3 linked regions of the Drosophila melanogaster genome follow. The protein of the gene in region 2 purifies or fractionates together with the protein of the main gene of each other region. This does not show direct contact. Each region holds a gene or a part of one and is shown on either strand. Other genes may lie near its edges. The genes, in order: tum, nesd and pav.

The links.
Region 1: the proteins of nesd (region 2) and tum purify together in Drosophila melanogaster (affinity purification with western blotting; one study listed by BioGRID). This does not show direct contact.
Region 3: the proteins of nesd (region 2) and pav purify together in Drosophila melanogaster (affinity purification with western blotting; one study listed by BioGRID). This does not show direct contact.

Annotation. Positions count from the first base shown.
Region 1 is NT_033778.4:13,854,848-13,861,990, forward strand, and holds tum (tumbleweed), read right to left. Parts: upstream 3,843-7,143; 5' UTR 3,639-3,842; coding exon 3,560-3,638; intron 3,497-3,559; coding exon 2,563-3,496; intron 2,494-2,562; coding exon 1,706-2,493; intron 1,651-1,705; coding exon 1,574-1,650; 3' UTR 1,303-1,573; downstream 1-1,302. Other genes in the region: CG6553 (uncharacterized protein), read right to left, coding at 1-71, 128-905; Uba3 (Ubiquitin-like activating enzyme 3), read left to right, coding at 4,151-5,503; CG16935 (uncharacterized protein), read right to left, coding at 5,584-6,443, 6,782-6,995.
Region 2 is NT_033779.5:20,092,194-20,098,970, reverse strand, and holds nesd (nessun dorma), read right to left. Parts: upstream 5,000-6,777; 5' UTR 4,763-4,999; coding exon 4,618-4,762; intron 4,533-4,617; coding exon 3,032-4,532; intron 2,969-3,031; coding exon 2,806-2,968; 3' UTR 2,718-2,805; downstream 1-2,717. Other genes in the region: mRpS18B (mitochondrial ribosomal protein S18B), read left to right, coding at 1,822-2,105, 2,168-2,498; Taf13 (TBP-associated factor 13), read left to right, coding at 5,203-5,247, 5,311-5,653, 5,725-5,747; Pyroxd1 (pyridine nucleotide-disulfide oxidoreductase domain 1), read right to left, coding at 5,860-6,777. UniProt on the Drosophila melanogaster protein: Required during male meiosis for completion of spermatocyte cytokinesis and possibly also required in female germline cells. Also involved in ring canal formation in male and female germline cells.
Region 3 is NT_037436.4:4,239,630-4,247,416, forward strand, and holds pav (pavarotti), read left to right. Parts: upstream 1-3,104; 5' UTR 3,105-3,248; coding exon 3,249-3,259; intron 3,260-3,318; coding exon 3,319-4,077; intron 4,078-4,135; coding exon 4,136-4,685; intron 4,686-4,745; coding exon 4,746-5,067; intron 5,068-5,122; coding exon 5,123-5,673; intron 5,674-5,734; coding exon 5,735-6,205; 3' UTR 6,206-6,604; downstream 6,605-7,787. Other genes in the region: Sqor (sulfide quinone oxidoreductase), read left to right, coding at 767-894, 1,157-1,262, 1,323-1,547, 1,606-1,806, 1,865-2,074, 2,275-2,461, 2,515-2,831.

The sequences.
Region 1 (7,143 bases), on a different chromosome or scaffold from region 2:
TAGAAACACCAATACCACGATTAGGAAGCAGAATATTACTATAACCAAGCTGAAAACATACGCTTGGGGTGCTAAAAGTAAATAAATTAGTATTAATGAAGAAACTTTTGATAAATACACAACTTACTTTCACAGTAAGGAAACTTCCTAGCCCACAATGCGTCCTGGCAAATGTTCTGGTTCTCGCCTTTCAGTCTGTGCTCCGCCGGGCAGTCGTAGTAGATACGGGTGCCATTGGCTACCCTTGATCCTACAGTGAGGATTGCATCTGTGAAGTGCTTAACCATAACGTTTGGCAGTTGGGGAACCACGCACTCCCCGTTCTCCTGAAGAGGATTTGGTCGTGACGCCTTCCTTGTTACAGGAACAGTGGGAGTTATCCTATGGATACTACTTTCCGTAGTTGTACTTGTCGTTGAACTGACTGTAGTCGTTGGTATGGTAACGCCCTCGCAAAGGGACTCCAGCTCATCGTCTCCATCTCGGCAGTCACGGATGCCATCACACAATTTGGAATAGGTCATGCATTGGCCAGAGGAGCAGTACATTTCCCAGTTGTCGCAGTTAGCCTGCTGCATCTGCGCCCGGCACAGCCAACCCTGCTCATCCGAACCATCCACGCAGTCCTGGACGCCATCGCAAACCGCTGTGCTGGCTATGCACGCACCGTAGCTGCAGCGAAATGCATAACCCGGACACCAGACCTTCTCACACATGGCGACCGTCTCATCGGAACCATCCAAGCAGTTGGCGCTCCCATCGCACAGCTGGTCCAGTTGGATACAGTCGCCTCCTCCACAGCGATGCCCGCAGCTTGTGGCATTTTGGGATCCCAAGCAAATGGTGACGGCTAAGGAGAGAAAAATCACCAGCTGAATTGAGAGATTCTGATGCGCTCCGAACATTCTAAATGGGTTCCAATCGACAGACTGACGGTTCCATGGCGCAGTTAAGGGTATTATTACGAGAGTTGTCCAAACCAGTTTGATGATGATACGGCTCTAGCTGTGCACAATTATCAGTCATGGGGTTTTCTGAGCGGCAGTCAGTATTTTCAATGACCGAGCTTATCACGTTTTTAGATAATCCTATCAAAGGGATATTCCAAAGTTGTATCGAGTTTGCCATTAGTTGTGATGCACGTTTTGTGGCGAAACATTCCCGTTTCCAAATCCAAATCCGGAAATGTTTAATATACTTTTGGTTACTAACATGCCTCCAATAATTTGCCATCAAGAATATAAAAAAGTAAGTTCACTAAACAGATTCAAAAATATTTGAACTTGAATAAAAACTTGTTATATTCTTTTATCGTTTATTTATATATTTGTTCATTGTTCTTATTGCTTTTCAAATGCATATTTTAGTTTATTTCTCTGGTGAGTATACTTATGTTAGTACGATAATAACGTGCTTTAGTTTATAATCGAACGCATAAATTATAAAGAAAAGCTTATGGTTGGGTTGGGTACAAATACAGCTCGGGGTTGGCTGGCCGGAAACAAAAAACTTGCAAAATACTTGAAGTAAACTTAAGTAACACGTCAAATGCTTTCCAACAAGGAAAGTCTCGTTATTTCTTGTGCGCAGATGCCGGCGGTGTGCCGTAAAACTTCCGCTTCTTAATGGTGCCTCCTTTGAAGGGAGTTGCTGTGAAGGAGAGATAATTAGAATAATTAAAAAAATTAGCTCATAAATAACTCACCATATAGCGAGAGTAAGTCATTTTTGTTGCTTGGCACCCGCTTGATAACTGTGGCCGGTGTTCTTGTCGGATCTATAACGATATATTGCTCCCAGAACGAAACGGGCAGCTCAAGAAGTGCCTTCATCACCTGCTTCTGGGTGAAAACTTCCGTGTAGATCGCATGCTGGTCGGGATCTGGTGTGGAGTAGCCCACAATGGTGGGGCCAAAGATGAGCGAGATGTTATCGATCGGCATTAGCACGACTGGGCACTGGGCAATTCGTTGGAAGTGCAGTATGAGGAAGGCCAGCGTATCCCTATTGGCCTGTGGTAGCTGCTTCACCGACTTAACCAACATATCCTGGGCAGTTTTGGTGTCAGGATTTTGGACTGCGTTTGCGAAATCCTTCCATTGGCTGGTGGGAATGAGAGGCTCTGTTAGGGACCTCAGGAAATCCTTGACACAACAGCACAGCACATAGATATCCGTGTTGCCCAAATGTGGAGTGGCCTTGCCTCGCAGGAACTGCTCCTTGAGGGCCTTGTACTCCCGCTCCGACGAGGACAATCGATAGAGGCCAACCTCGGTCAGGCCGCGGGCTTCAATCTCATTTACGCAGTGCACAATCAGTGCCGGGATCATGGGTGCAATAGATGGTGCAAAGTCCGTTACATAGCCAGTCATGGTCTTCGTCGTCGGTGTTCCCGTTTGCGGCACACAGCTAACGGTGAGCAGATACCGACAATCGATGTGACAGCGCACCGGGCAATCCCGACATCTCAGCCCAACGGCTCCAAACCGTATGCTGAAGAGTATAAAAAGTATTTAATTAATAAAAAAAACCTACTTGGAGCAGAACTTCTAGTAAGCTTACCGTTTCTGACACTGAACGCAATTGTCGCCACGCAAGAATGTCTTCTGACTGAAGGTGTGGTTCCTCATCAGTGGACGGTGCTGCAGTGGCGTTCCGGATTCAGCGACAACGTGAGGTGCCATAGCATTTACCGGCGTCAGCGGCGGTGCGGTGGCCTCTTTAAGCACCGATCGCCGTGGCGTCGAGGATAGTCCGTCGCCGATCCTCTCGTTGCCGGCAATTACAGGCAGCGACTCAATGGTCGACTCTGCACGAATCACGCCCTGTCCATCCTGGGGTATGGTGACCTTGGTGGTGGCACAAAAGCGCTCAGCGCCTTGACCCACGTCCACCGTGTGTTGCTCCACTCCGATTCCGACGCTAGAGCGCCGCGATTTGCCAGTGGTTGGTGTAGTCCCGGACATACTGCCATTCAGTCCAGTGCTCAATCGCGATCTCTTGTTGCCAACGCTAGGAATCTGGTTCTTGGGCAGCGAAGGACGATGCTCTCGCCAAGATTTTGATGTGCGCACATCGAGGAAGTCGTCCTCGGAGTGTGTAATAGACAAATCCGACAGCAACGATCCGGTGGAGTTGATGTCGCCATAGGACTTGTCCTCCCGCACGGCATTCAGGGACTTGCGCTTTCGCGACGAGGGCAGTGTGTGCAGAAAGGCCAGCTTGTCGCGGGTCTCGTTGTTCAGATTGCGCTCGTGTCGCAGCAGATCTGCCACAGCCATGATCTTGCTCTCCATGGCATCTCGTTCGTGTTCCGCCTGGCGGCGCGCCTTGATCTCCATGTCGATGATGCGGCGTGCGTGAAAGAGTTTGCCCTCCAGGTCGCCCATTTTGGTCAACGACTTGTCCAGCTCGTTTTGTATCCTGGCCGTCTCGGCCGCGTAGCCCGCGCACTTTTCGTGGTACTGCTCGAACATGCGCAAGAACCGCAGGAACTCTAAATGGAATACAAGCATCATGTAGGGCTTCATTTGCCTTGCGTGTTTTCAGTTTTACTCACCCTCCTCAGGAGTTCCATCGGTAAGCACTTGCATGCAGCGTCGCAGATCATCGAAGGACGCCAATGCGGAGAGCGCCATTTTTGCTTGTCTCGGTAGTTCTACGAATCGGTTTTCACTCGCAGGGACTGCCTGCACACTGGTTTCCTTGATTCAACTTCGAAATCTACTGAAAATCAGTAGTATTTACCCAAAAACGAGTGGCAAACGGAGCACGCTGCAAAAGACGCGCTGAATTTTTTCAAGTTCCGTTGTTTTCAAATTGACGCCATCTGCGCAGTGTGACCATTAATGGGTGGCTCGAAATAACAGTAGGGTAGTCATGCTAACAGAAAATATCGATCTGATCGTGTTAGAGATGATAGAGATTGTTTCAAGTTAACAATTCTTTCGGAATTAAATAAAAAATAATTTAATGTTATCCTATTAATACTTTTGAAATGATTATATTAATAATAATATAATTACAATATTTTTTTTTATTTACAATATGTCTTATATAAATTCTTATTCACATAAGCTACCATCACTAATATTTATTCCGACCCGAGTAGTGTTGCTAAACGAATCACAGTCTCGATTTTGTTTGAAAAATGTCTGTCCACTCACCCAATCCTGGCTTAATCCTCCAGAGCAAGCGTTTCAATGGACTGCGGAACATCCTGGAACGCGAAGGTCCCTTCTGCAAGGACGGTTTCGCGGCCTCGTCGGAAAACCTGGAGTTCTTGCAGACCAAGTGCCAGGTTCTGATCATCGGAGCCGGTGGCCTGGGCTGCGAACTGCTGAAGGATCTGGCTCTGATGGGCTTCGGCAACCTGCACGTCATCGACATGGACACCATCGAGCTGTCCAACCTGAATCGCCAGTTTCTGTTCCGTCGCACAGACATTGGCGCCTCCAAGGCGGAGTGTGCGGCTCGCTTCATCAACGCAAGAGTGCCTACTTGCCGGGTGACGCCGCATTTCAAGAAAATCCAGGACTTCGATGAGTCCTTCTATCAGCAGTTCCACCTGGTTGTCTGTGGCCTAGACTCCATTGTCGCCCGGCGTTGGATCAATGGCATGCTGCTATCAATGCTGCGATATGAGGAGGACGGCACCATAGATACCAGCTCCATAGTGCCCATGATTGATGGCGGCACCGAGGGCTTCAAGGGGAACGCACGCGTCATCCTGCCCGGTTTCACGGCCTGCATTGAGTGCACGCTGGACCTGTTCCCGCCGCAGGTCAACTATCCCCTATGCACCATAGCAAATACTCCCAGGCTTCCGGAGCATTGCATTGAGTACGTAAAGATCATACAGTGGGAGAAACAGAATCCGTTTGGAGTGCCCCTCGATGGGGACGATCCCCAGCACATTGGTTGGATCTACGAACGGGCACTGGAGCGGTCCAATGAGTTTAACATCACCGGAGTGACCTATCGCTTGGTCCAGGGCGTTGTCAAGCACATCATTCCAGCTGTGGCCAGTACCAATGCAGCCATTGCCGCCGCCTGTGCTTTGGAGGTCTTTAAGTTGGCCACCAGCTGCTATGACAGCATGGCAAACTACCTGAACTTCAACGACCTGGACGGAATCTATACCTACACCTACGAGGCCGAGAAGTCGGAAAACTGCTTGGCGTGCAGCAATACACCGCAGCCGTTGCCGATTGAGGATCCCAACACCACCACGCTGGAGGATGTGATAAAGCTATTGTGTGATTCCCCGCGTTTCCAGCTGAAAAGCCCAGCCTTGACCACTGTGATGAAGGACGGCAAGCGGCGGACTTTGTACATGTCCGGGGTAAAGAGCATTGAAGAGGCCACCCGAAAGAACCTTACTCAGAGCCTGGGCGAACTGGGTCTACACGATGGACAGCAGCTCACAGTCACCGATGCCACCTCGCCGTCCGCCATGACTCTGCAGCTGAAGTATCAGTCCAATGAGGTGGAGATGGTCTAAAGTGTATCACAGTAGATAACAATTTTAATACACAAGTCGTATATGTAAATAAACAGCAGGCTTAGCCTCGAGTTACGCATCTAAATGCTCATATCCAGTATGTACTTCTTGCCGGTGAATCCCTTGAAGCTCAAGGCAGCGGCCGCCGCGTCTTTGAACTTTGCCAAGGGCACCATCTCATGGTTGGGGGCCACGAACTTTCCCTGCTCCATCAGCTCGAAGATCTCCTTGAACATTTTCGAACGCTCTGGTGAACTGTAGTTCTCCTTGGACCAGCGAGTCATCCAGAAGCCTCTAAATGCAATGTCCTTGAAAATGAGGGGTCCAGTGGCCACTGTGACGGGTTCGCGGGACATTCCGCCGTAGGTGACCAGCACTCCGCCATTGTCTAGATGACGCGACACCTCCGTGGCGCTTTTTCCGCCCACACAGTTGAAGGCCAGACGGGGCTTTTTCAACTTGCCCGACTTGAAGATGTCACTGGTGCGAATTTCGGCCTCTGTTAGGACCTCGGTGGCTCCCAGGCACTGCAGCATCTGCTTCAATTCGGCAATTTCTGGGCGGTCGCGTACAATGCCAACGCTATTGATGCCCCAGGCTCGGCACAATTGGTGCACTGCCTGGCCGACGGCGCTATTGGCGCCGTTTTGGATGACCGTGTCACCCGGACAGAGCTGCACAAAGTCCTTTAGCATTCGGTAGGCAGTGGTGGGATTCACTGTCGAGGTGGCGGCCTCCGCCAAGCCAACCTTCTTGGACACGATCAATAGTTGATCCTCCTTGTAGACGGCATGGGTGGTCCAGGTGCCCAGGCCACTGGCCAAGGGAATGACGTGCTGTCCTGCCTCAAAGCCTTTGACTTTGTCGCCCACGCAGATGACCTCCGCCACACACTCATTGCCGCCAACGGCTGGAAACTTGGGCTTCACCGGGTATTTACCTGTAAAGGATTTATAATAATCATTATCAAAGTGACTTTAAACAAGCTAGGCTTCTTTAAAATTTAAAGCCACAACCTTGAGCATCGTTCAAAGTACAAAGATGTACTGATAACATTCGTTTAACTTTAAATGGATTACTTCTGATTATCCCATAACTGACTTTCAAGCAAGTGGGTATACTTAGAATACAAGTATCTCTGATCTTCAGTTCTTATCCAGTTGTTTCAGCAGAAGATTATCGTTATTAATTATGCAGTTCATGCCGGTTATGGCTATATTTCAGTTGTATCATGCATAATATATGTTTGTTTGTGATATATCCTAATGGCCAGCATACCCTGAATGGTGTTTATGTCCGCCGGGTTAATGGGAGCTGCCAGAATCTTCACCAGCACCTGGTTGTCCTTGGGATCGGGAAGTTTGTCCTCCACCAGTTGCAGAACCTCCTGTGGTTCGCCGTGCTGTGTGTACTTCAAGGACTTGGCCACCACCGACATTTGGCGGCTCCATTGGGCTGCGTTGATGCGAGATAAAAAGCCTCGGCGCAACATTTGTTAGTAGTAGTTATGATTTTTGACCATCAAAAGAGTAAAACGAAAATTATTATGCAGGTTAGTATGACCGTCGCTACATTGCTGCCAACTTGAATTTTAATGACGCCAAAGAGATTTATAATGTTATTTGCTGGTATTTTTGGCT
Region 2 (6,777 bases):
AATGTTTGTTCGGTGTGAACTAATATCGTTTGGTCGTTTCTTTTACGTATATCATATACATATATATCTGACGTCTTTTAACGTCTATATATTTTTATAAGCAATCTATTTTTAACTAAGCAGCACTTACACAACTTTAACTTTTACATTGGAAGAATTACAAAAATATAAAAATATATTATTAAATTGATGACTCTTGGTTAATTGAATAATTATAAGAGTTGCTTTTTGCATCGTTTTTCAAGTGATTTTAAAACCATTGCAATAAAAACCCAATGAACACTAGAAGTTTTTCAAAAATTTAAGAACTGACCAAAACAGAGAATCCGACCTTCGAGCTGCCCACCTTGCTTATTATTCATTTGTTTGGAAGCGAAAGGCATAGAAAAGGTCGCACAGCCAACAGGTAATAATTTGGCACAGCATAATCACGATTTTCGTAGTGGCGCCGCAGGAAAGGAACCATTTATTACACGAAATGCGCGAAAAGACACTCCAAATGGGAAAGTTGGTTTCGTTTTCCAAAGGCAGGTGGTTCGAAAAAGGTCCACTCTTTTCGTTTCGGGTGACAAAGCCACCAGCTTTTGTTTGCCCACCCCAACTGCGCTCTTGTTTTAAACATTTGTAGTTGGCATAGCGGTATTTATAGCCCTGTTTATTTGTTGTCGCGACTTTTCGCAAATTGATAAGAAACCTGCAATCGGCTCTATTTTTAAGGCAAGCGAAAATTACTTACCGCTTCGCCGGTGTTTCTTTTGTTATTGTCGGCGCTCAAAATTTGTTGTTGCTCGAGGCCTATTTCTTGCAACAATTAAATCTAAATGACCGTCTGCCAAGTATTGATTGGGACCAAAAACATGTGCACACGCAAGGAATTGTTAGGCATTTACTAACGTCGATTTACACCGAACCCAGGCGTCGGCGCTCTATTTTTTTATGGTGGCATCCAAATGTAAATAAATGCCGTGCTTTTTTCATTCGGTTTTTGTATGCACGTGATTTAAGGTTGCCCCACCGTACACTCACTCACACACACACACACACGCACGCAGCGCACTCTCGCACACACATACACGCGGGCGCGGGAGCTGCAGTAATAGTATCGCTACTTTGCACCAGTAAATTCCGAAAGAAACTAAACTAACGGGAAAACCGAACCGTACGGCGCAGCCATTTTCATTCATGCCCCCAAAGTCGCGTGTGTATGGGTGCCAGCGTGTGTGTCGGCCTTTACCGTTAGTTTGAGAGGCCATTTGGGGTTTGGTTTCGGCCATGTTGCCCTACTCACCGTTCAATTTAGCGGTTTCAAACGCCACAGTCTGTAACTTTAGTCCTTTTGTCGTTGTAAAAATTATTTAAATTTTGACGGTTAAGCAAATGCAAATTATGATTAAGAAATTTAAAACTACAACCGCAACCTTCAATAGCGTTATATTGGTTTCTATTTTAAAGAGAGTTATTGAACATTTGATACAAAAATTGAGTTGTAATATATTAAGGGTAATGCCGACACTTCTATAGCTGCTCAATCCTTTAAGCTTTTTAATATGGTTAGTATTTTATAGAACAGATTATATATTCTATGAAAATGTTTCTAGCATGGGCAGCCTTTAGATAGTAACAGTCAAAGTTTAAGTTAAAATTACTTTAATAATTATTAAAATAAACTTTTCTCGGGGAATACCCTAGTGAGAAATGTTCCGCCCCTGAATGTATCGATAGTCATGTATCGGAAAACAGCTGATCCGCCGGCTCCACGAATTTACCTTGTTACGTCGCCTCTGAATTTTTTGAAGTAACTTCAGGTTTTATTCAATTAAAATGTTGCCGATTGCACGTGGAATTTACATTGGACTGGTCAACATTACCCGGAATAGCCGGGGAGCTCTTCACACGGCCAGCGCCTTGAGATGCAAGGCGGAGACTTCGACTGAAGAAAATAATGCGGCTGCCACCGAAGGCGAAGGCGAGGATAACGCTAGTGGTTCCGCACCAGACCCGAAGGATCGCAGCAAACCAATCCCAGTGGAGACCTCGATTCGATACTTAAAGAGCGCCGCTTACAAGCAAACCTACGGCGAGGACTTTGTGTGGACGCAGTATCGGTAAGACGAACTGAAGGCATACACGTGAAAACTTCCATTGCATTCGCATCTAATCTCTTTAGGCGCAACCACAAGGGCATGTATGCGCCGCGCAAAACACGAAAGACGTGCATCCGCCAGAACCGTATCAGCACCGGAAATCCCTGTCCCATTTGCCGTGATGAATACCTGGTGCTGGACTACCGCAACACGGAGCTCCTGGAGCAGTTCATATCGCCCCACAGCGGAGACGTCCTTAGCTACTCAAAGACAGGCCTGTGTCAAAAGAGCCACCTGCGTCTAATGGTCGCCGTTCAGCAAGCCCGCGACTCCGGGTACCTAACATACGATGTGCCCTTCAGGGAGTATGATTACAGCGAGTACTACGGCCAGGAGCAGAAGCAGAAAGCTTAACCAACTAATGATTAACATGTTTTTATTAAAAGAAATTACTGTAAACAAATTCAGGTTATTGTTCGGAGTATTTATGTGTTAAAGGAAGTATTTTCTGGAAGACGCTCTGAGACGGTGTAATATTATATATTAACTAACTTTATCAAGAGTTAAAACCAATATGTAAGGTTTCGAGAATAGGACATCCAACGAAATTGCAACATCGAGACACTGGAGTTTGCCCGTATTATTTATTGACGCATATCAATAGGATTTTCGGTTAGCGCTAAATTTTAATTTATAAACACTATGTGTACACAATGTACCCCTAGACCAATTGAATATTTTCCTTGTTCTCCCCTCCGAGTTCGTCCTCGAGGAGTTGTTGATGCGATCGCTGAGCCAGCAGCTGACCGGATTCGTTAAAAACTCGCACATTTTTCTTGCAGTTGTAAAAGCTGCAATTACCTAGCAAGTTGTCCTCGTTGTAACTAAAAAATAAGGATATAAGTGGTAATTTTTGAACATGTAAAATACAACGTATTTTCATTTACCGCTGAAGTTCGCTGAATTTGTTTAGAACCAGGACCTTCTCTGTTCTTTGCTCTCCCAATACGAAACCATCGGCCAGGATTCCTAAAGCACAGTTTTCAAAACTGCACTTGCTACCCTGCAGATTAACCGAAGCGGATTTCTCCAGCAACTCCAGTCCAGTCTTGCATGTTTTAAACTGGACGCTTCCCAGCTCAGCACTAGATTTCGGTCGCATCGATACACCCACAGCAAAGTTTTCAATTAGGCAACTTTTGAGTTCCACGCTGGCGCCTGGCATGCAGACAATACCCTCTTGGGTGCTGGAGCTCCCATCGCCCAGCAAGCGACACCCTCGCATGGTCAACGTTCCGTTGCGCAGCAGGATCCCTCTACGGACATGACGACAATCCAAAACCAATTCCGACAAGGTATAGTCGCCATCAATGACCAGCAGGGTGCTATCCTCATCGCTCGAGCACACCACAGGCAGCAGGGAAAGATCTGCAGCAGGACTTAGTATGGCTTCCGGCTGAGTGAGTCCCCTTAGGCTGCCATTATCGTTGAGGTGCTCCAAGAATTTGATTGTATGCTCGCCGGGCGAAAGTAGAATATCATCGTTGCTCTGACAGATGCTCAGGACATCCTGCAACGTATTGGACAGCTGCACTTTCGATTCCGGCTTGACCAGCGTCTGGGCCAGCTTTAGCAGTTCCAGCTGCTGCTGCAGTTTTCCCGGCAAGGTTACCACATGGCTTATGGAATTCCGCTCTACCAAGAGATCCTCCGATTGTCTGGTTCTTCCTGAGGAGCAGCGAAGCCGCTTGAGGCTATTAGACTGTAGCTCGCTGTAGGCTCGCCTCATTTCAGGATTTTCAAGGATCTCGAACTCGCTCCTTATGATGGCCATGCGCAGGTGCAGGCACATCAGATCTGTAACCGGCAGACTGGACACATTGAGACAGCCATTGGCACTGCCCGCTTTAGATTGCTTTCTAGCGGGCTCTGCTACGCTGTCATTGAGTTCCACAGCCTCGTCGTCGCTCTCGGCATCACTGAGATCCAGTTCCAAGTAGTCCAGACGCTGCTGAATGTATTTGGCTTCGGCGAGCAGGGTGCGCATGTGCAGGGCCAACGGACGGGGCAGTCGGTTCTTGCTGAGATCGCACACTAGTTGGATACGAGCCTGCAGATGCTGTTGCACCCAGTCGCGATCATCGTCGTAGTCCTTGTCCCAAGGCATCCACACATGCGTATAGAAGAACCGCAAACGATCGATGCATTCAGCGGTGGTATCCACATTTAGAGCTGCGTTCTCCTGCTGCACAGTGGGCCACAGCTCCACTAGCGATACTTCATTACTCTCCGGCAGGTGGACATCGCTATCCTGCACGGCGGTCACCACAAATACCGCCTTGAGCTCGTCAAAGATCACCTGCTCCACGTAGCCGTAAACAATGGTGGGATAGCGTAGTTTCAGATCCTCGCAAATAACGCGTGGAATTTTCCAAATTGCCTGCCATCCTATATATCCCATATAGATACATATATGTATATATAGTTGCCTTTTGTGCACGAGTGTGTGTGTGTGTGTGTGTGGGTGGCTTACCTGCAGGCTCAATTTTTAATTCGACGTAGGATTTCCACTCGGATCGAACCTGGGATGCGGGCATCACGGCTCCCTCCCACGAAAGCACCGCCTCCGCTTCTTTTAGGCGCTCCAAGTACGATTTCTCAAAGGTAAACACTTCCATTTTCCCCTTTTGAATGAACGATGTGTTCGTTTATAAAAATTTTTGAAATGCGTGTGCAAGCAAAGGCTTCGATAACGATTGTTCGGGCGGCGTTATCGCGCAGTGCAACCATGTGTTGAGTTTGGCTAGATTTTTACTCGTGGCTATAATTTAAGCACCTATATAAATATATTTTAGATGTATTTTGTATGGTCTTGAATAAATTCACAATTTATTTAATCACGAACCAAAATATTTAGATTTGTTGACAAGCTCAGATATTTGAAATATGAGCTCGCAATCTAGCTATTTCGAGTTAGTCTCAGTATCAGCTACCTTCTCAACCAATTATCGCCAGCAGTGCTGCAAGTATCGATTACAATGCTCATTCAATGCGGTGTTACTCGCGTAAACACAAAATTTGTATACAAATTCAACGTTTTAATTGAAGTCTGAGCACTATGGCCTCAAATAGCATGCCAGAGGAGAATTTCGAGGGCGGTGATGTAAGGAAATATTATAAGCACCAGTTCCAATGTCTCCGATTCTAAGCTAATCACCATTTTTAGTTCAACTTTGATGACGACGCGGAGGATGACCAATTTGTGGCTACCAACTCAGGACGAAAGCGCCTATTCAGCAAGGAGCTGCGCTGCATGATGTTCGGATTCGGAGACGACAAAAATCCATACACGGAAACCGTAGATCTGCTGGAAGACCTGGTCATTGAGTATATAGCTGAGACCACTCACCGGGCAATGGAGATCGGTCGAACAGGCCGTGTTCAAGTCGAAGACATTATCTTCCTGGTGCGCAAAGATCCCCGAAAGTACGCTAGGGTGAAGGATCTTCTGACCATGAACGAGGAGTTGAAAAAGGCACGAAAGGCCTTCGATGAGATCAAGTATGTGGGTGAGTATTGCAAAAGTTCGACATTTCCTAAGAACTACATGTAATCAACCATTTAAACGAATAATTCCCAGGCACCGAAGGCAAGCTCAAATGACAGCGGTCAAAAAAAGCCACACCAAATCCAGGTATAAGCCAAACCTAGCAGTTAGCTCCAAGATGCGAATTATTTTTAATGTCTTTAATACTCTAAGCTAGCGCATAATAAACTAATCAAAATAGTCTTCAATGTCAATGTCGGGATTAAGAATATCATCGCCATAGGGCTCCAAATCAATGCCGTTCAGGATGAGGTTCTCGCAGGTCTCTGCGAGATCAGTGTTGCCGATTAGCATTGCTCCCCGTAGTCTGCCATTTTGAAGCACAAACTTGATGTATTCCTTATTTCTCGTGCAGCGCACCAGAATTTCGTAGTCCCTGCCCAAATCCTGACCATTAAAGCGTCCCAGCAGGACAACAGGATATCCGAAAAGTTTGGTTACGTGGCCAAAGAGCTCGAAGCAGAAATCCTGGTACACGCTTTCACCTTCACTGGCAGCCGCCATACTCCTGCCCGCCATGGAGCCCATTTGGCGAGCCTGAGTCCACAGGCGCATCTGGAACCAGTGCATTGCGGCTGGCCAGTTGGCCGTGCACACATCACCGGCCGCAAAGACATCCACCAGATTCGTACGCATCATTTCATCCACCGATATGCCACCATCGTCGGAAAATTGAAGTGGCGAATCACACGTGTAGTCGGTATTCGGCCAAACTCCCGTTGCGGAAACAATAAAGTCACAGGTCAACTGCTGAAAGCTCCCATCCTCATGCTCCAACTTGACTATAGCACCTGCGTCGTCGGCGAGATCCTGAACGCTGCTTATGCGAGATTTGTAATAGATCTTTGGTAGGCGGTTCTCTTCCCCTTCACGTGCTCCACTCAAGTCGACGCTGCGATGCCAGTCCGGACCCAATGCAGCTCCATGGTTGTTAGTCTGCTCCTTGGGCAGCACTTCACTGTACCGCATTCGCTTAATAGCCACAACCGGAGAGGAATCCTTCGCATTACATTCATTCATGGCTATGTGAAAGAACTCGGCTGCTCCGGGATCCACAAATGTGGCCGAGATGTGAGAATCTTTAAC
Region 3 (7,787 bases), on a different chromosome or scaffold from region 2:
CCTACAGATTGTTTTATTTATTGAGCCCCGATAAGCACACAATTCTTTGCTGTTCTCAGAATTAAGTCCTCGTATTTTAAGGCATGATGTCATGTGTTGTCTGTAGGCAAAATCCACTGTAGATAGTATTTAAGTGCTTCGAGCATTCGCGCACTTTAGAGCTTTGGATTATTTAGCACCAAATGAGCTTTAAACAGCTGAGTACAAAAGCATGCTGAAAAGCTTTTGCCATCTTTCAAGGTTAAGCTATGAATACACCCATCCGAAAACTACAGTGCAACCTGTTGCGTTTTCCCCATTTTTATTACCACATAAAAACTGGTTTTCAGCCACGTACACTCTGATTTTTATGGCCGACGGGCGAAATTAAGAAATACCACATTTTTAGAAGCCTGACACTTTTTCCAAATTAGTACGCTTAAAACAATTCTAACAATTTCTAATGTGTTATTTACTTGTGTTCAAAATCAGTTGTTATGTTCGATTTCACTGACAAATTTTCCCACACTCGTTTTGTTTTCCTTGATAGCCGGTCGAAATGTTGGGAAGCACTACACAGTGCCGCCTAAGCATCTTCGGCATTTTTTAAATTTCTAAAGTTTTTTCTAAATTTGAAATAGACCAAACTTTTTGCCAGTGCAGCCGGTTTGATAACCCCCCATTGAAAGCTCTTTTTTGCCAGTCTTCAATCGGTTGTGGGCACTTGCAGTCCGTTTTGTTTTTCTTTAACGCAGATTGAGGGATCGAAGATCATCCAGCTGTTGCGATGAACCGTCGCCTTCCAGGAACCATCAGCCAGTGCCAGAAGCTTCTCCTAGCCACCCACAACCATGCTCCAACGGCCTTCTCCACCAGATTCCTGTCCACATCTCGAGTGAACCGCGAGCGGCAAGAGTAAGTTTGTTTATATAGCTGCGAAAGTTTATGACATTTTCCGCGAAACAAATGGCATGGCAAATCTATATCTATATCTACCAAAACAAATTGAATTAGTATGTTTAGGCTAGTAACTAATTAATGGCGATAACGAAGAGATAACTTGTTGGCCATGGTTAGATGGCACTGATGGTGGGTGTGGTCATGCGACTGTACTAATCTCCCTTGAGGTGTCTGTCATTGTATATTCCAGCAATTAAGTAAATCCTATTTTTTCCAGATGCCAAGTGCTGGTTGTGGGCGGTGGCACCGGTGGGTGTGCCATGGCCGCCAAGTTGTCCTCACGTTTGGGCAGCGACAAGGTGGTCGTCCTGGAACCGGAAGATGTGAGTAAGCCCAAAGGCAGTAAATAATCCATTATGACATAGCGCGATAATTCCCCATAGAAACATTACTACCAACCCATGTTCACCCTAATAGGAGGTGGTATGAAGAGATTGGATCAGAGCCACCGCCAAATGGCCGATGTGCTGCCCACAAAGGCCAAATGGGTGAAGGAGAAGGCGCTGGAGTTCGATCCGGATAATAATACGGTTAGCACTTCTGGTGGCAAGACCATCAAGTACGACTTCCTGATCATCGCCACCGGACTGCAGCTCAATTATGGAAAGGTACGTAGGGTATCAGTACGTTTAATAGTTGCTAATATCCATATCCACATATCCATAGATACCTGGCCTGGTGGAGGCCCTGGAGACCCCCGACAGTAATGTTTGCTCCATCTACTCGCCCAAGTACGTGGATCATGTGTACGAATGTCTGCGCAGGACCAACAAAGGAAATGCTATATTCACGTTTCCCAATTGTCCCATTAAGTGTGCAGGTGCACCGCAGAAAATCGCCTATATATCTGAGCACTACTTTAGGAAGGTGTGCATCATTTAGATAGAATATCTGGCAAACAACTTCAATTTGAAACCCTTTTCAGATGGGTCGTCGCGACAACGTCAATATCATCTACAATACATCGCTTCCCGTGATTTTTGGTGTTAAGCATTACGCAGAGGCCCTGATGAAACTGATCAAGAGGAGAAATATCACGCTTAATGTTCAAAGAAATCTCGTTGAAGTGAGACATAAAGATAATATAGCCGTGTTCGAGGATCTCGCCAAACCAGGAGTTCACTATGAGGAAACGGTAAGTGCTGGTCAATTAATTGGGTATTCTAGATACTATATAGATCTAGATCTAGATCCTAGAACTATATCTTTCTACTTAAAGCGAGAAATATGAAGAGTAGGTTAACTAAGATCAATTTTAAAGTCGTATAGTATTGCAGAAATAGGAGAATTGAAGGCCATGAAATTAAACTTATATAAGTATTATATCTTTCTCAGTACTCCATGCTTCATGTGACTCCGCCGATGAGCACTCCGGATGTGGTGGCCAACTGCAAGAAACTGGTAACCCCCACTGGCTTTGTGGACGTCGACCAGTTGACGCTGCAGCACAACAAGTACAGCAACGTGTTCGCCATCGGCGATTCGGCGTCCAGTCCCAACTCGAAGACGGCCGCGGCGGCAGGTAAATGGGTTGGGAATCCTGATCAGAATATTCAATTGATTTTTCACCTCCAGCCGCCCAATCACCGGTTGTGTTCAAAAACGTAATGGCGGCGATCGAGGGCAAAGCCCCAACGGATATCTACGATGGATACTCGTCCTGCCCCATCGTCACCGGCTACAGCTCCTGCATCCTGGCTGAGTTTGATTACAACCTCACCCCCGTGGAGACCTTTCCATTGGACCAGTCCAAGGAGAGGTACTCCATGTTCTTTATGAAGAAGGAGCTGATGCCGGTGCTCTACTGGAAGCTGATGATGAACGGCTACTGGAACGGACCGGCACTAATGCGGAAAATTTTCTCAGTGCTAAAGTTTAATAAAAAGCAATAGGGACCTCAAATGATCTTTAATTAATTTTAAAAGAATATTTGGCATCATCATAACCATTCCATACCTTAATATCATACTAATTTATAAACATTGTACTTTTAATTTGGTATGTGAGATCATAAATAAAAGTATTAAATTAGTTTAAAATCTAGTATATCTAAATATTTTAACCTATTCAAATGGCACGCACTGTACATAGCCTCGGTTTCAGTATGTATCAAGTATATATTGGAGCAGGGGATGGTATTTGCAGCATTAACCGCTTTCTAAAGTTCGGTCACTCTAAAACCAAGCGTGGCGTCGCTTGGCGCTGTAAATTTGAAGGTAACGAACTAAAAGAGAGATCGATTCCAGCAACAAAACAAGAAGAAACCCAACTCCCGTATATCAAATTAGTTGCAAAAACGAGCTGACAACATGAAGGCAGTGTAAGTGATATGACAGTTCCCGAAAGAACAACTCCATCAATGAGAATACCCATTTGCAGACCCAGGACGCCGATGCGTGTCGTCCCGAAAACTCCGCGGGTGCATCAAACGGTGGAGAAACAGCGACGAGACACCTCCGACAAGGCCAGGGATCCAGTGAATGTGTTCTGTCGAGTGCGGCCACTACAATCCGACGCAGATCTCACCTCCCTAAGGGTCAAGAACTCCACGACGATCGCACTGAATCCGCAGGATCAGCTGCTGCAGCATCACAAGCCACACAACGGCGCCCAGCGCGAGGTTCAGTACATATTCAAGCACGTTTTCCAGCCGGATGCCACGCAGCAGGATGTGTACGCAGCTGTGGCCCAGCCGTTGGTGGAGAACCTACTGAAAGGCCGAAACAGTCTGCTTTTCACCTACGGCGTGACTGGAAGTGGAAAAACGTACACCATGACCGGCAACCTGCGACACCGCGGCATCATGCCGCGCTGCCTGGACGTGCTCTTTCGCACCATTTCAGATTACCAGGCCAAGAAGTTCGTCTTCAAGCCGGACAAGCTTAATGGCTTCGAGATCCTGTCCGAAGAGGATGCGCTTTTGGAGCGCCAACACGAGATGAACCAGCGTTTTGCTGGCTCAGGACGATTTGCCTTCAGGCACAAGGACTCGGATCCGGAAATTGCATCCCAGGCCTCCGTGGAGCCAATTCCGCTGCTGGGTTTGGATGAGGACAACATGTACTCGGTGTTTGTCACCTATATTGAAATTTACAATAACAGCGTCTACGACCTCCTTGAGGACTCGGGTATACAGAAGTAAGTATTTATTAAGCATTACATTTAAAGAAATCTAACTGTATTCTTGACCCGACAGGACTTTGCAGAGCAAAATCATTCGTGAAGATGCCAATCGACACATGTTCGTCCACGGCGTCACAGAGGTGGAGGTCAAGACCGTGGAGGACGCCCTCGAGGTCTTTCAAATGGGCCAGAAGCGCAAACGAATGGGACACACTGTTCTCAATGCAGAATCCAGTAGGAGTCACTCGGTGTTCAATATACGCTTGGTGCAGGCGCCCACTGATAGCCAGGGTGAGAATGTGGTTCAGGACCGGCAAAACATCACAGTGAGTCAACTGTCCCTGGTGGATCTGGCGGGCAGTGAGCGATCCTCAAGGACCAAGAACACCGGTGTGCGACTCCGTGAGGCGGGCAACATCAATAATTCGCTGATGACGCTGCGCACTTGCCTGGAATATCTGCGCGAGAACCAACTCGCGGCTAGCAATGGATTGGCACCCAAGAAGGTCCCCTATCGAGACTCCAAGATCACACACATGTTTAAAAACTACTTCGATGGCGAAGGCCAGGTGTCCATGATTGTGTGCATCAACCCAAGAATTGAGGACTATGATGAGAATATGGTAAACTATTTTTCTGACAACAATGTACTCTGGTCCCTAAAATTTATTTATCCCGTTTAGCAAGTGATGAAGTTCGCCGAGATGACCCAGGAGGTGCAAATTGCTCGGGCGACTCCTATGAAGCAAGATTTGGGTCTGACTCCCGGCCGTCGCAAGGCCAACAAGCTGTTCAAGATTGCCGTTAATAATCTAAACGAGCTGGGCATTCCTGAGGCCAAGGATTTGGAGGTGGACGTGGGTTTGGTGTACAGTTTGGGACCCGATTTTCCCGCCTACGAAATGGACAGTCCCGAGGCACAGATCAAAATCCGCGAGCTAATGCATTATCTGGAGCAGCGCATAGAAAAGCGAAAGAAGCTGCGTGCCAACTTGGACATTAAATGTAAGACGTCACTTTCTTAATCTTAACATTGAAATACTAATTCCACAACTTTCAGGTGACAGCTTCCGGCAGATGCTGATGAACCTTGACCGCGACAATCTTCAGCTGCGCACGGAGCTCGCCTCCTTAAAGGCTGTTTACAAGCAGGAGCGCGATCGCAGTGCGGCACTCGAGAAGAAGGTTCGCATCCACGAGAGCTCCATTGACGTGCTTAACAATACGCTAAGCAAGCAAGAACGGCAGATTGAAGAGCTGACTTTCAAGCTGAACGAGAAGGAGAATATGCTCACCCAAAAGGAGCACGAGAAGGAAAAGCAAAAGAAGAAGTTCAGCTCCAAGCTGGCCGTTGAGTCGGACAAAAATAAGCGAGAGTTTGAACTAAAGCTGCGTGAACAGCGAGTGAAATTGCAGGAACGCATGCGCATCAAGGACGAGAAGTTGCGATTGGTCTCCAACATTCTGCAGTCCGAAGATCTGCCCAGTTTGCCGCGGTCACAGAGCTCGGAAAACATACTTAATGAGAAAGATCGCGGTGCATATACGGCGCGCACGGAGGAGTCCTCGGTGCCAGCTACACGAACAGATATATATGCAACGCCACGTCATGTAAGTGTATGATTAATCCTAGAATATTGCAATATCTATTGATAATTTTATATCCCAACAGGGTGCAGCAGCGGCCAACAATCGGCATAGACGCTCTCGATCCGCAGGCGACAAGTGGCTGGAGCATCGGGCAGCTAATCCCGTTCCGCTTGGCACTATTATGCAGCCGTATCTGAAGAATCGCAAATCCGTAACGAAACTAACCGACTTGAAGGAGTTGACTGCTCACGGAACTACGAAGTACTGTCTCGTCTCGCAGGATGCGGATACGGATGGCGATGTGGAGACGAAGCTGTATAAGGGCAATGTAATTCCCACTTGTGGCGGTGGTGCCCAAGTTGTGTTCAACGATGTGGAGTGCCTCAAGCAGAAGTCACCGGTTCACTCGCCCACGCGAAAGCGACCCAGCAATGGCAACATTTCGGCTCTGGGCGGCGGTGCAGTGCCCAGCACGGTCACCTCAGCCCAGGACGTAGCCTCCCGCTGCAATCTCGGCATTGAGGGACACAGCAGCAAGAAGTCGAAAATCTAAAAATGACTCAGCGTGGAATTCTCAAAGTCAATTACCCATTTAGTTCATAGTTACTTAGTTTCCATAACTTAAATTTAAGTTTATTACTCACCCACTTCGGTTTTTGGAGTTGAATCGCATTGAAGTGATTTGTTTGATTAAAGAAAAGTTAATCTGTATAAATAATCCCGTAAATGAATTCGCAACCCCTCGCAAATGGAAATGTTTCCTGCTCCAAATAGTCGGTACCCGGAGGGTATCTGCCAAGAGCAGTTGTTAGAAACTATCCAAGCATCGTCCAATCATAGAACTACTCTAGTGTTATTATAAAGTATTAAATATTTTATTGTTTTTCGGAGTGAACCCAACTCCAGTCCAGTCACAAAATGAACAAATAAAGTGAATTACGCGCATATACTGAAAGTGATCAATTTGGTTTTTATCAATTTTAGATTTTCTGGCTGCAAAGCTCCCAGAGTTCCGTGAAGCAATAACATGTGGCACATAGATGGTTTTAACTATTTTTATTATTATTCCTGCGTTTATTCAGATTTATGCTTAAACCGATAAATTTTATTGAAATACATACGGTACCATTACACATACATATTTGTAGATTAATTTCAATTACTAATAAATCAGTCTATAATTAAAATATATGTTCGCTTAATGATTTCACGTGTGTGAGTGTTGTTGTGTTGCAGTGTTCATGTTGCAGTTGCTGTTTCGTGGGTGTGAGTTGCTGCTCGATGAGTTCGGCAGATGACTCTTAAACGCTATGTGCGGCAAATGTGGCAGGTTCCTGGCAAATGAGGAATTTCGAATTTGGAATTGGAAGCCAATATCGCTAATGCTACTGCACGACAAATGAATCAAATCAAATGTAAAAGGGAAACAATCAGAACGTGATAATAGAATTTAGGTACATACCCGTTCAAGTACAATTAAACAAAACAAGTTGGACGAGACGAAACAAAACCACAAATGTAAACATAATAGGCGGCAAACTCAACTCAAGTGGTGGGCCAATATTAACATATCCATCTTATCCAAATTTCATTTAAACAAATTACAATTTAATCAATATAAAGCTCTGTTCTCATAAACGCTCTCTCAGGTTCACACGACGCGAAACAATTATTTGCATCTGCAGTTGTAAATCTGCGCTTTATAATACGTAATCATAATCATAATATTATCATTAAGGTAATCGATTCTTGCCATATACACAATAGCAATAAAAACTAAGAAGCGAAATTATTCTACGGTGGAAAACGAATTTTGGCTATGAAGCAACGTAATTTAAAAGGGTATTATTAACAATATACACTCACAGCCACAGCCACACCCCGACCACCCGACTACCCTACTCTTCTTTCCCTTAATTGTTTAATGTTTTTTGTGTGTGTGTTACGGTGTGTGTGGTGTTAATGGTGTGTGTGGTGTATGTGAGCAGTTGCGTTTTGTTGGCAAGGCATTCAACATTACGTTGCGGACCCTCACATCCGCGGCATCTGTCTGTGTGTGCTTTTCTGTGTTTGGATGAGTTTGCAATGAAATCTCGCTTGAAGCTGTATACTAGCTGCCCCGTCCCTGACCGTTC